Linked DNA regions of Danio rerio. The protein of the gene in region 2 purifies or fractionates together with the protein of the main gene of each other region. This does not show direct contact. Links are inferred from orthologs where the notes say so. Each region holds a gene or a part of one and is shown on either strand. Other genes may lie near its edges. The genes, in order: u2surp, cherp and rbm17.

The links.
Region 1: the proteins of cherp (region 2) and u2surp purify together in Homo sapiens (affinity purification with mass spectrometry; 4 studies listed by BioGRID and IntAct, with this or other methods). This does not show direct contact. The link is inferred for Danio rerio from reciprocal best matches to the Homo sapiens genes CHERP and U2SURP.
Region 3: the proteins of cherp (region 2) and rbm17 purify together in Homo sapiens (co-immunoprecipitation; 4 studies listed by BioGRID and IntAct, counting the BioPlex papers as one, with this or other methods). This does not show direct contact. The link is inferred for Danio rerio from reciprocal best matches to the Homo sapiens genes CHERP and RBM17.

The regions. Positions count from the first base shown.
Region 1 is NC_133177.1:29,978,982-29,983,756, forward strand, and holds the start of u2surp (U2 snRNP-associated SURP motif-containing protein), read right to left. Parts: upstream 2,883-4,775; 5' UTR 2,851-2,882; coding exon 2,806-2,850; intron 706-2,805; coding exon 607-705; intron 1-606.
Region 2 is NC_133197.1:5,173,228-5,177,738, forward strand, and holds the start of cherp (calcium homeostasis endoplasmic reticulum protein), read right to left. Parts: upstream 3,015-4,511; 5' UTR 2,837-3,014; coding exon 2,812-2,836; intron 1,415-2,811; coding exon 1,241-1,414; intron 896-1,240; coding exon 860-895; intron 1-859. UniProt on the Homo sapiens protein: Involved in calcium homeostasis, growth and proliferation.
Region 3 is NC_133179.1:26,166,257-26,170,931, forward strand, and holds the start of rbm17 (splicing factor 45), read right to left. Parts: upstream 3,019-4,675; 5' UTR 2,935-3,018; intron 2,606-2,934; 5' UTR 2,582-2,605; coding exon 2,459-2,581; intron 333-2,458; coding exon 216-332; intron 1-215. UniProt on the Homo sapiens protein: Splice factor that binds to the single-stranded 3'AG at the exon/intron border and promotes its utilization in the second catalytic step. Involved in the regulation of alternative splicing and the utilization of cryptic splice sites.

The DNA.
Region 1 (4,775 bases), on a different chromosome or scaffold from region 2:
ATTGTTCAAACTTGACGTTTTCAGGATGATACAACTATACTAGTAATATAGTTATGTTCATCTAAACATAAGTGTGGTGATGACATTAATATTTGTTAGTTTAAGTTGTTAAAATGTCTGCTTTGTTTTATGAAACAGCAGAGCATGCTTGGTCACTTTCAGAAGTTGTAGTGATGCTTTATTTTTACGTAAATAATATGAATGATATATAGGTTAGAACATTTAAAAATATATATATATTGCATATCACATTTCTTTATTATTGCAATATTAAGCAACCAAAAAATTTAGGTAAACCAAAATTGGTCATACGCAAAAAATAAGTTTTTCTTTTATTGTAAACCAACACCATGACGACTTCTAAAACACTAAAGCATGGCAAAAAAAACACACTATACCTTTCAATATTTCAACCAAACTAAACAAATATAAGAAGAAACATGAAGATCATCACTAGAAAACTTAAGACAAATTAAACTGTACTGAAATATAATTTGATAACTTGATACTTCAATGAAAGCGAATGGTTACAGAGAATAACAAGCCATTGACAAGTGCATGCTAACATTTTGACTGGTAAGACCTTACTGGATCTCTTTTTCTTACCTTCTTCTTGATTTCATCTTGCTCTTTTTTACTTAGTGTTCTTTTTGCAACTGCCATCTTGCCAATACTGAAAGCCTTTAACTTACTTTCCAATAAAGCCTGCATAAAAACATATAAACAATGGATTATATACTGACAGGCATAACATCACTTGTCTAAAGATACATCTTTAACTTCTAATCTTATAAAAAGAGATGTTAATACATTTCTATAGTGCCTAAAACAAAGGAAAAACAAGAAATTGTGAAAAGTATTTATTTAAGGGTTTGTTCAACCCTTGTGCACTGTTCAAAATGTACTACCCTTTGTTATGTTCGGTATAAAACGTCCATTGAACTAAACTGCAGTAAAAATGCATCAAAAAAAATATTTTTAAAAGTTTGCATAAATCTATTAATCAACCTCAGTCCTGCTCAAAACAACTTAATTGTTTTGAAAGTTACAGGATTTTAACTCTTTAAATGCCAAGTTCACAAATGAGGTCACTGATGAAAAAAAACACGCAAATTGCCGTATTTTCTATAAAAAAAAAATAATAAAAAAAGTAGTTGTGAGCTGGATAAACTTTTACCTTTTATTACAGTCTTGAACATGTGAACTATTAGTACTAACATTAGCTGGTTGGATTTTTATTTTTCCACCCTAATTTACCGTTGGTGGCTGTTTTTGCCACGTTGACTTCCATTATCACCAAATTTGATGGAGCATAAACACTTTGTTTTTATTTAAGCAATGTAGTTCAGAGATGCATATTTTGATTTTCTCAGACACATCAAGGTAAGTACAAACGTCACTAACACACACCTTATTTGCTGTTATACTCCATATAAAACCCATAAACTAAGCTTTTTTTTGCACAGGCCTATCTAAAGGGTTATTGGTGCCAAATGATGATCAACAGTAAAAATTACAAATAGTGTCTCTTCCTAACAGGGAAAACAACCAATAATCAAAAATGCATGATTATATGGTGTTATGGTTTTGTAATAAAAAAATGTGGTTATAATGTAAGTCAATAGGGCAAAAACAGTAAATTAGGAAAAAAAAATTAAAATCAATGAATCAAAGGCAATGTTGTTTTACATGTCCAAGAATTTGATAAAAGGGTTGAAAAAAGTCCACAATTACTTTTCATATTGAAAATACATCATTATGTGTGTTTCTTTCACCAAATCAGTGACATCATTTATGAATTTGGCAATTAAAGAGTTAAAAAAATGTAATATTCCAATCAATTTAGTAGTATTGATCAAGACTGTTGCTTAACAAATTTCGAAAGCATTTTAAAAAGACTTATCTAATGCATTTCTACAGCAGTTTAATTTATTGGATGTTTTCATCGCAAACATGACAAAAGCGTAGTCAATTTTCTGAAAATAAGTGTCAAAACAATATTTGTCACCAAACATCATTCTGCTAGCTGAAACAGAAAAACTTATGGCCAAATTAAGACTCAAAATCCCCCAACAGTACATAAGGGTTAACTTCTATGACCAGCCATCAAGATTGAAAACATTAATTTATCAGAGTATCAAAAAAAATATGAGCTGAATTGTCTTTTATGAGTACTGTTACGACTAAAAGTACAATATAAATGACAACAAAAACGTGTATTTACAGTATCTCAGGGTATTTGACACGTTCACGTGACTGGCAATATTGGTCACTATGTAGCGAAACTTGTTAACGTTAAGTTAGCTCTTCAAAGCAAAACTGACATCTTAGCACAAATGTAAACATGCAAATTCGCGAATTTGATATCCACACAGCATCAACAATTCTTATCTCCTATTTAACGATACATGTGTGTTCAAAACGTTCAGAAATCAATACAATACTGTAATCTTCATAAACACTACGTTCCGTGTTAGCATTGTCATCACACAATAAAAACACAGCAACTTCGTTCATGTTCTGTGTTGGCTTCAAACGTATAATAACAAAAAACAAGCTTAGTTAAGTGTAGCATATGTACCAAACATATTTTAGTATATTGCAGATCAAATCTGTGCACCGCCGGTGTCTAGCTAACAACACTGCTAGCGAGTTAGCATCACAACTGAGCTGCTTAATGGACCTTTCTCAAATGCCAGAAAAACACACGACTCAGTCAATCACATAATTATTGAGCGTTTCGTATCATAAACCAAAAATATCGATTTTAATATGCTAGAATAAAACGTAAAAGTGATAAAATACCTTAGAGTTGCCTTTCTGGGCCCCACCTGGCGTTTTGTCCGCCATTTTGCCCGACACTGTGAAAGCGCGTGAGGCGCGTTCTCTCTCTCTCTCTCTCTCTCTCTCTCTCTCTCTCTCTCTCTCTCTCTCTCACTCACTCACTCACTCACTCACATACACACACACACACACACACACACACACACACACACACACACACTAAAAAAAACAAGTCGATTTGACATCTATATCAGAAGCCGATCTTGTGTGTGACTTTAGTCCTCAAATCTGAGCACAGACTGTGTTGCACAAGACATTGAGTTTCAGAATGTATTTTTAAGGGATTGTTTTTGTGCATGCTTATGATACTGGTTTTAGCTTGTTCAAACTGGTGTTCAGCTGATTTTAACTTCTAGGTTAAGAAGACAATATACTGTATATGGGCAAGCCTACATCATTTTGCCACTGTTGCCAACCATTGTTGTGTTAAGTTCTAACTTGGATGCAGTAAGATACAGTTCTGCATAAAGCAGGACTCTGGTGACTCAGCATGACGTTTTAAACTTTGCATTGGGCATTGCATTAAATTTATTTGACAGTTAACCCAAAAATTAACATTTACTTATATTTACTCCCCATCAGTTGGTCTTAAATGGTTATACAAAAAATAAAAAATGAAGAACATTGGATAGCCACTAACATCCACTGAAATTAAACAAATAGCCTACTATGAAAGTCAGTTCTACTAGCTTCAAAATATCTTCGTTTGTGTTTATCAGAAGAAAGAAACTCAAACAGGCTCGTGACAAGTGAAGGTCGAGTAAATGATATATCATATTTAAGTGAACTATATTTAGTCAGGTAGTACTGTGTAAATTTATGCAAACTCTATTAATTAGTTACCGGCCAAATTTACCCAAATGTGTTAAAATAAAATGGACTTTTAGTTACAGCTAAAATGGATTCATAAATATGTTTGTATTCAATGTGAGTTTTTCCCTGACTGTTTATGTGTGCGTGGTAATGAGGCATGTATAGGCCTATATGTGTACATGCAAACATAGTTGAGCACACATGGCTCACACATAAATTGAAAAGACAAAGGGTGAAAGAGACATTTTGGAAGAAGTGATAGGTGTTGAAGTAGTCTAATGTTAAACGTTAAGAGAACAATGTCCACCTGTTCTCCTGTCTTAAATGTTTTTTGTTGGAACGAGGTGGTGGTTGTTTTATCTCCTATGGTTTTGCGTAGTACTTTCAATTTTGTGATGTTTGTTGTAATGATTAGATACTGTTGTAATGATTGTTAGATACTTTACCCAAAGTTGTGGTTCCTTTTTTATTATCCTATTTTAGATATTTCTTCTTAATAAAAAATATAGGTAAGAAAAACTGATAAGCAGCATAAAAATGTAGCCTTTCATGAATCATTCAACTTATGAACCAGTTTGCATTACATTGCTGATCAGAGATCACTCCTACATTTCACACATTGGAAAAGCAGAAGCAGCTTTTGAAGAAATGTTGCAGGAACTATTAAATCATAGTTGAAAGGGTGACAACTCTTTTTTTAATATTTATGAAAAAACTATATTTTTTGTAACATTTCTAACAGATATTCTATATCATGTTGTATTGTTTTTCACTGAATAGATAAAAGGTAGACATAAAATATGCTAGAATATTGCTAACCATGCAGTTTTTTATGAGTTTTATAAAAATGGGGTTTATGCTGAATAGCTGATTTGAGATCACTCCTCATGTTCAGTGCATTTAAGCAAATGAGAAGCATGTTATGAACATGTTGAAATGACTGATAAATCCTTCTTGTTGATAGCGAGATGTATTCTGGAATTCTGTTTATTCAGTTTTAAGCAGTAGGCCTACTCTCTAATGTTAACACGAAGACTTTATTTGTTACAAGAATTCTAACAGAAGTTTTAGATTTGATCACATTGAGATAGTTGTCGTGAGGCTTTTTCGCCAATAGT
Region 2 (4,511 bases):
ATCTATAAATGTTCAATCACAAGAGATGCAGACTCAGAACAGCGCGATATAGAATACGAATTGTAAACAATTGCAAGTTGTAGACTCAGATTTGCTCAAATAGAAGCCGATAATCTTTTATTTGCAAGACAAAAAGTTGCAAATGCAAAATGTAGACTCAGAATCGAACAATAAGCTAAAAGGTTTGGAGACTTTTACAAAATTGCAAGCAATAGTCAAAAAAGCTAAATCTAGACACAGAACTGTGAAAAGGTCAAACTGTGAGGCAAATATAACAAATAATGAGATAAGTCACAATTATATTAATATTCATGGCAGAAACAAGATTAAAAGTTCATAGAAACATGCAGAAAAATCACTCATGCTTGTTTGTTCTCCTCTGATTTTCCATGTCTGGAGATTGTAGCATAAAAAACTCAAACAAACGGGAAGCAAAAACATTTTAGGCTACGGGGGAAAAGAAACCAGAGTCCAAAGAGAAAATCTGCTGGCTTGTGGCTTCCTTAAAAGCTGAATAAATATTAAACAATAATATTTACATTTGCAAACAGAAAGTACAAAACAAAAAGCTGCACATTCTTACATATCGTTTATGTAGCAAAAAAAAAAAACAGTGCAAGAAAGTAGAGTTCGCTTGAAAGCTTCTTTTAAATCTCAAAATAAATGCAATAATAACAGTTAAGCTTTTGCAACCGTTTTATAGCATTTAAACCAGTTATAAAGGTTGAACGCTAACTTAAAGATGTCATTTATAACATAATCTGACAGCAAAATAAGGATTTTAAGCACTGATGTTGCAGAAGAACTCCATGAATACCAGGCAAAATGAAACATTTCTGAACATCGGTCTAATAAATACCTTCCATATTATATTCATCATCATGAGTGCCAGAATCTATAAAGGAGAAAAGCACACCTTAAACACGAACATATGCAGAACACAGCTGTCAGACAAATCTAGATCTTTGGTTAGCAGCAAGGTTATTAATGTTAGCAAAAACAAACAAAAAAAAGTTCCTTTAAAGTGAAACAAACAAACAAATGTTATATGAATTTTTAAAACGGAAGTAAGCAATATTTAAATATATAAAATATCAAACATTTTCAAAAATGAATATAATATTCAATACTACAATGGGAACAAGCCAGTTTAAAAATCGCAAAAATACACCTACGTAAAGCTTGTACTAAAAATAACACTAGTTAGTAAATAAATGTGACTTGCGGTTCTTTCACGTACGCTGCTGCTGTTCGATGGCCAGTTTATATTTGTAGTAGCCGAAAAATTCCCCTCCGAACAGGAACGAGAACTTGGCGTTGTCCTTCTGCTTCTCCATGGTCATCTTCTCAAATTCGGGTCCATTTCTGGCGACAAACTGCGCCAGTTTGTCAATGACATTGCGCAGCTCTTGATCTGATGGGGGGGAAATTAAAGAGAAAAACATCAAAATAAAACAATTACATTTTCAAATTCACAGTTACATTTTTTACATAATATCATTGAAAATAATCGTAAGGCTAACAATTTAAGTACCAATTTCCGCTATTAACTTGTAGCTTATAACCACACATTGGCTGTTTATCACTTATAAGAAATTACCATATTGTAGATGCCTAATCCTATCCAATAACCTACCTAAACTAAAGTATCTTACTAACTATAAAAAACTCAGGAAATTAGCAGTTTATTGAGCTAAAATTCTTAGAAAACAATCTTAATTCTAAAAATTTACGTACCAATTCCTGCTATTAACTTCTAGCTCACCACTATACATTGGCTGTTTATCACTTATAACGTATGACCATTATGTACATGCCTAATCCTACCCAATAGGCTGCCTAAACCAAACTATCCAACTAACTATCAAAAAACAGCAAATGAGCAGTTTATTGAGCTAAAATTTGTGAAAAAATAATTTGGTTTTCATACTCGCAGTTACATTTTTTAAATATTTTACATAATATCATTGAAAATAATCTTAAGGCTAACAATTTAAGTACCAATTTCTGCTTTTAACTACTAGCTTATTACTATAGATTGGCTGTATATCACTTAAGGCATGACCATATTGTACATGCCTAATTCAATCCAATAACTAAACCAAACTATCTTACTAACTAAAAAAACTGCAAATTAGCAGTTTATTGAGCTAAAACTTATAGAAAACAATTAAGTTTTCACATTTTAAAAACATTTTACATAATAATATTGAAATTAATCGTAACTCTAACGATTTAAGTACCAATTCCCACTATTAACTACTGGCTTAACATTGGCTGTTTATCACTTATAAAGTATGACCATATTGTACATGCCTAATCCTATGCAATACCTAAACCAAACTATCTGACTAACTGCAAAAAAGAACAGCAAATTAGCAGTTTATTGAGCTAGAATTCTTAGTTAATTATTTGATAATAGCGAGAATTGTACCTTTAAAAAAAGTGTGACCAAATTAATCATGAGATATACTTAATATATAATATTGATGCTATCTTTCAATCTGTTCAGACTTAACTTAGATAATAATGAAATTTTCATTTAAATTAACTACTAAATACAATGTTTTTGCTGAAAACGTTGATCCTATTGACAATTATTGCAAAAAAACGTTGTACATTCAATTAATACAGTGGTAGAATATTTGGGTACTTCGTTTCCCATCCTAGCCACACTAAACAGTCAAAAATAAACAAAGCAGAAGTTTAAATCCTCATTTTATACACTAATTGTGTCTATTTGTGTCTGTTTGATTATAATGTGACTTCGCTAGCGTTCGCGCTGCAGTACACGCGCAGGCGCAGTTTTACCTTCTGGAGGCGTGGAAATATCCATATTTCTCAGCAATACAGGCTATTACGACCAGGAATTCACTTATAAGACATCACGCTGAAGCGCGAAACAAAAATATCCAGTTTTAAAAAATCTACGACCACATCTCTATAGGTTTGTTGTGTTTCTGTTCAAGATGAAGCGAGAGGAAACAGAATCTTCACTACTTCCTCCGGTGCGTGGGAGGCGCATGCGCTCTCTTTAAGAAGAGAGGTCTCGTCACAGCGTCAACTGCCGTTGGGAGGTCGTAAATTTGTAAGATTTTTGATAATTATCCCTTCTTTTTTGACATTGTGACACTTTATTATGTATATGAAAGCTGATTACCGTAACAGTAAGTAATCATTAGTATATCTTCGTGTTCTACAGACATTTTTGTAGGCAATTTAGTTTTTTGAAGATGTTTAGCCTCGAAATATGCTAATGCTAATGAAAAAGTGCCGTTAGGTGGAATAAGTTGTAAGATGCTTACAAAATGATGTAGCTGCTAGTATGTTTGGTAAGATAAGCACAGTTAATATTTATACAATTTGATTTTAAAAACAAGTGTAGATATTTTAGATATCCTGTGGTGACCATGGTTGGCTACTCATCTGGGATTTAAAAAATATGGTACAAAAAATTTCAAAAAGAGTCAAGATGTTCTGGAGATGGTATACAAGAACTTGGTTGAAAGTGTTGTGAGTTTTAACATGATTGCATGGTATGGACTGTTGCCAATTAAGGACAAGCAAAAACTGTAGAGTAGTAAAAAATTACCAGTGCAACTGTAGGTAAAGCATAAAGACAACCAAATGAAATTTATTCAATAACAATTAAACAGAAAGCACACATCCTTATTGAGGATTGTTCCCATTCCTTAAATAGAAAAATTCAGTTCTTGTCATCAAAAAGACTTTTTTGTCAAAAAAAAGAGTTTGCATGTTCTCCTCGTGTTTGTGTGGGTTTTCACCAGGCTCTCCGGTTTCCTCCCACAGACCAAAAACATGGAACATAAGTAAACTGACAAATCTAAATTGACAGCAGACACTTCAATGCATTAATCTACTTTCAACATTATCAAGCTGGGGAGTTCTCGAGACCTGCCTGAACTCAGACTCCCCTCTCGCCCTGCAACGGGGGGAGCCCCAGGCTCGAGGATCTCACAAATTCAGGGCTCTATCCTGGGATAGCATGCCAAATATGCTCTATAATCAATCATCAGCTAAGGGCGAACTCTTGAAATACTGGGTTCTAAGTATGTAAAGGGTTTTAAATAGAGTTTTTAATGTGATATATGTCATGACTTTGTATGTATTTGTGTTGCCTGTTTTTTTCTGTGATGTGTGTCGTGTGAATGCTGATGTGGTTGTGTGGTGAAGCCAAAGATAAATTTCCACTTGTGTACAATAAGTAAAGTAAAGTTTCACAGTATTATGATTACTGCTCTAAAATATATTCACTTTAAATGTCTGGGTAACAAACTAATTTCCCCCTTTTAAACACAATATGTTTTATTTTGAGAAACATATAAAATATTTTGGAGCAGTAAACATGTCAGGTTGCGAGGCAGTGGCGCAGTGGGTAGCACGTTCGCCTCACAGCAAGAAGGTTGCTGGGTCACTGGTTTGAACCTCGGCTCAGTTGGCGTTTCTGTGTGGAGTTTGCATGTTCTCCCTGCCTTCGCGTGGGTTTCCTC
Region 3 (4,675 bases), on a different chromosome or scaffold from region 2:
TGATGTAAAAATTAATTACCAAATTAAAACCAGTGTGATTTAATTTATTTCATGTAATGCATTGATTACTGTCGTCATTATTAAATTCTGCTTAAATGCTTTCCCATAGTAATATTAGATTTTTTAAATAATTTTAATTAGTAGCAATCTTACTACTACTTATACTTATTTTTATATACTCTATTTTTCCTAAATAGGATCTAGACACGGTTTACCTTCATCCCTGCAGCAATGTGCGGAGGAGTATCAGAGATCTGTCTGTCATCCCCTCCACTTCCCCTCTTCAGATCAATAACTGGAGCAAGAACATTGGACTGTCTCGTCCTCTGGGTCTGCAAAACAAGTCATTTGTCAATAAAACTTTTCGGTTATAACACCTATTGGTTTCACTTGTCTTAATTAATCCTTGTGCAGAAATTAAAACAAAAAGTAAACATGTCATTAGATGACAAAACTATCAGTCAAATAAAATGCTAACTGTTCAAACATTTCATAAATCATAAATCAATTTCATGATTCCTTTTAAAATATATTTGTAACATTATAAGGTAAAAAAAAAACACAATACAAACATATCCACACGAATATAATCACATAATTGTAATTTCGTTTACTCAACAAAGCTGAAAGAGAAAGAAACAAATAAGGAAAAAAAGAAAGAAAGAAAGTAAGAAAGCTTCAAAGCTGAAAAATATGCCAAAATATGTGCAAAATACTATACATCTTAATTTTTTAAAATTATTTAATTAAATAGCAAAATATATTTTTAAATATATTTAAATAAATGTTTAGAATTTTGAAGTCAAAATATGAAACAAAGAATGTATGACATTTTGCTTAAATGTCAAAGGGATATAATTGTAAAGTTTAAATGAGTTTCAATGGGAACATTTTTGTGATTTATTTTGTCCTGTTTTATTTCACCTAGTTTAAAACAAATTTATAAAGAGAAATGTGAGTGGAATTTTGAACTTTAAAATTTTAAATGACACATTTTACCCAATTTGGTGCAGTTTGATTTGGAAATGAGAAAATGATAACAGTAAAATAAACAGACAAAAAAGATCATTAAGAAACAAGGATTTACAATTACATACACAACTGTATAGAGGTAAAGTTGGTTTCATACTCACTCGTTCAGTGATGACTTGTGACAAGGGGTGTAACGGATCCTTACGGATCACAACCCACAGTACGGTATGCACATGACCCACAGATTAATAACTTTTTTAAACTTGTAGGTTAATCCAATATTTATAACAATTGCAGAGAGATTGCCTCCCGTAACATTCAAATCACGTGTATGAAAGCATTTTGGGTTCCCTGTAAAATATAGTGATGACGGAACAAGTGGTGGGACTAAATGTTTTCTTAGGTTAGTGTTAGTTTCTTAAGAAGTGTTTTCTGTCACTATTTGTTTAGCCTGCATTAAAGCATTCAGTGTAAAGCTGCACAATTCAACATTAAAAGATCGTGACCTCAATTCAAACCCGCGCAACATGAATATTAAATGATAATGATCTGCATATGTTCATTAATCCTTCGAAGCGTTGCATTAAAATCTGTGTTTGATCAGATCAGAGAGAATCAGTTTTTACACTTTTTCAACTAGTTACAAACAATTTAATAACACAGAAGTGCTGGGAGAACAGTTTCTAGTACAGACATAAACACCGATGTTTCTGGTAAAGATTTAAATCACCATTCAATGGAACTTGGCACTGGTGAATGTTGTAGCAATTACATTGTGTAACGACAAACAACCATCAAAATTATGTCACTGAATATAGGGTTTCAAAAATGATGCACTTATAACCAAACATGAAGTTTTACATGTGAATTGTTGAATCATTAATTACCATACGTTGTAAATGCGATATGTTGTACAAGATGTTGATTTCTATATTTAGCATTATCAGATCATTTTATTAAATATTTTCCTTTTTTTCAGATATTTCTTTCTTGAATTGTATTTTTATTGCAATTACAGGTTCTAAGTTTAGTTTGATCCGTACCATAAGATTTATGATCCATTAACTACTTATGAGAATGCTCCTTATTTAGTTTACCATGGCACTTTAAATATTTGGTCTGGAATCACATGTAAGTATGATTCAAAAATAACATTAGCACCGCTTATTTGACTCTGAACGATGTTGTACTTTGATAGTCACTGGCTGCTAATATGATTTCACCATTTAGAATTAGCAAAGAATGCTTTTCTGAAATTATATTATTAAGAAAGTCTGAATGTGTGAATATAAAACCAACTTTCTCTCAATTCACAACTGTAAACAAAATCATTGACACAGACTAAAATACCTAAATAACTAACTAATTTCAAATTCCCTGATATATTCAGATTTAATGTAGTTGCAATTAATACATACATTTTTCATTTATTAATAAAAATATTTACTAATAAAACAGTTTTATCAAGAATTAAACATTGACCAACCTTTGCTTGTGTCAGTGCAGCTTTCTTCACTTTCAGTTGAGACTGAAGCAGTTTGAAGTTTTTAGACCATCCTTCTGTTTTTGCGTCGCTCGTTGCGACCCCCAAATCATCATATAAAGACATTTCTCCTCCTTTCCACTAAAAACACTGAAAATCATAATAATACATGCATCATAAACGTAATCCAAACAGTAATCAGCCAACCATGTTATAAAAGCTAGAACAGAAAATGCTAGATTATCACATAAACTATAGATTAGACATAAAAAACAGAAAACAAACATTTAACTTTAAATAAGCTATATAGGATTAATAATGGTCCTTATAATAAGTAATATGTATGAGCTACGTTTAGCATTCACATATAACGTAGACCGCTAGCAATATTTACTGCTTTTAATAAACAAATGGTTGCTGCCTCATCTTGTAACAGCGCATACACTTTAATAGTTGAATATTTGACATAAGATACACACCTTTCACGAAAATAAATCCTCTACAAGTTATGCACTCTTGGTTAGCGTAACATGCTACAATGGAGACGTCGCGAACATATGACGTCACACTACGCATAGCCAAAGGTATTCACGTCAGAATGGCAGCGATATCAAAGTATTTAAGATTTTCTAATAATGTTTCTTTACTTTAATGAGAGGAAAACAATTATGCCTAAACATTTTTTGGACGGAGTGTCTTTTTTTTATCAAAAAAAAAAAAAAAAAAAAAATTGTGCCAACAGACATGTCAGACGATTGTTACATAACTCTGTAGGCTATATACCTCCCCAAGATGTACAGTTTTCTAAATCAATTTTTCTGACTGCATTCAATGGAAGAGAGCATGGTTATTACTTGAAAAATTCTTAAAGTTTATATTTTTTCTTAATGATCGAGGCTTTGTAAAGTTTTTTTTTTCTTATTTCTCATTTCTTTTTTTGCTATTGTATTTTTTTCTTCAATGTTATTATTCTTGTATTCAATAAAAAATAAATAAATAAAAATAAAGATTTTCTAATAAATCTATTTCTTTCACTAGCAAATCTTTTCATACACAAGTGCAAATGTTTTTTCTTATTTTTTGTAAAGATTTGAAGTATTATTTGAATACAATCTCTACTTCCAGCAATGTTAAAGCTTTAAAATTAATAACACTATGTGAATCTTACAGTATTGTCTCTTTTCTATAATACCCAGCAGACTGTATTGTATGTGACCTTTTATACATCACTGTGACCTTGCTTTAAGATAGATTTTTGTTGTTTATATTACCCCTGGCAGAATCTTTTGTTTCTCTTTTTGTTTTGTTCTGTTGTCTATTTTTGTTGTTAAAGAATTGATACCTTTTCTGTATATTTTTGTATTCTTGTTGAATGTTCAATAAAAAAGATAATTAAATGCAAGAATGTGGATGCTGAAGGTTTGACTACCACATTACAAGATGTACTGATGTGAGATGTGAAATTATGAAAGATGGTTCTTTTTTACACAAATACTATATTATCATTGATAAATATTGTTATTATATTAGAAAACTATTATATTCATAAATGCAAATATTTCAAAACCCCTCCACTACTTTTGGTTTTTTAGAAGAACTAAACAATTTTTGGATGTCCTGGCTAAAATGAAAACAAAAACCGCCTTAAATGTTTTTAATTATTTATATTATTTAACTTGGTATAGATGATATCTGTACTATATTGTTGTTTTGTTCGTTCATTTGTTCATTTTTAGTTAGGATGATTTTTGTAAGTTTACACTCTTTGTATTTTATTTTTTTTTTTTGGTATATTCTTTTTTCTGGACCTAATATGGCGTTCTGGTGTTAAGCCTTCCGCATCTGATACATAATTTGTAGGGTTTAATGTAATTTTGTTGTATTTATATTTTGTATTTCCAATTACAAATAGAATAAAATAAAATGTATAGACGGTATCCAAGAAAGTCAATAATTTGATATGAAGAATAGATTTGCAGATAGTCTAAAACTATTCCCAAATTAAGTAAATAAACAAAATTTTCACATATCTCTCAAAGGGAGGATTTTGACATTAAGCAAGCTTTTTCTGCTAAAGAGTTGATCCGGCTTTATTTGATTTAATATGGATAAAATAAAGAACATTAGCCTACATTAGTATTAATTTCATGAGATCCTCTTAATTATAGCTAAAAGCAAAATTAGCCTGATTGAATTAAACAGCACCTTGAAAATCCTGCT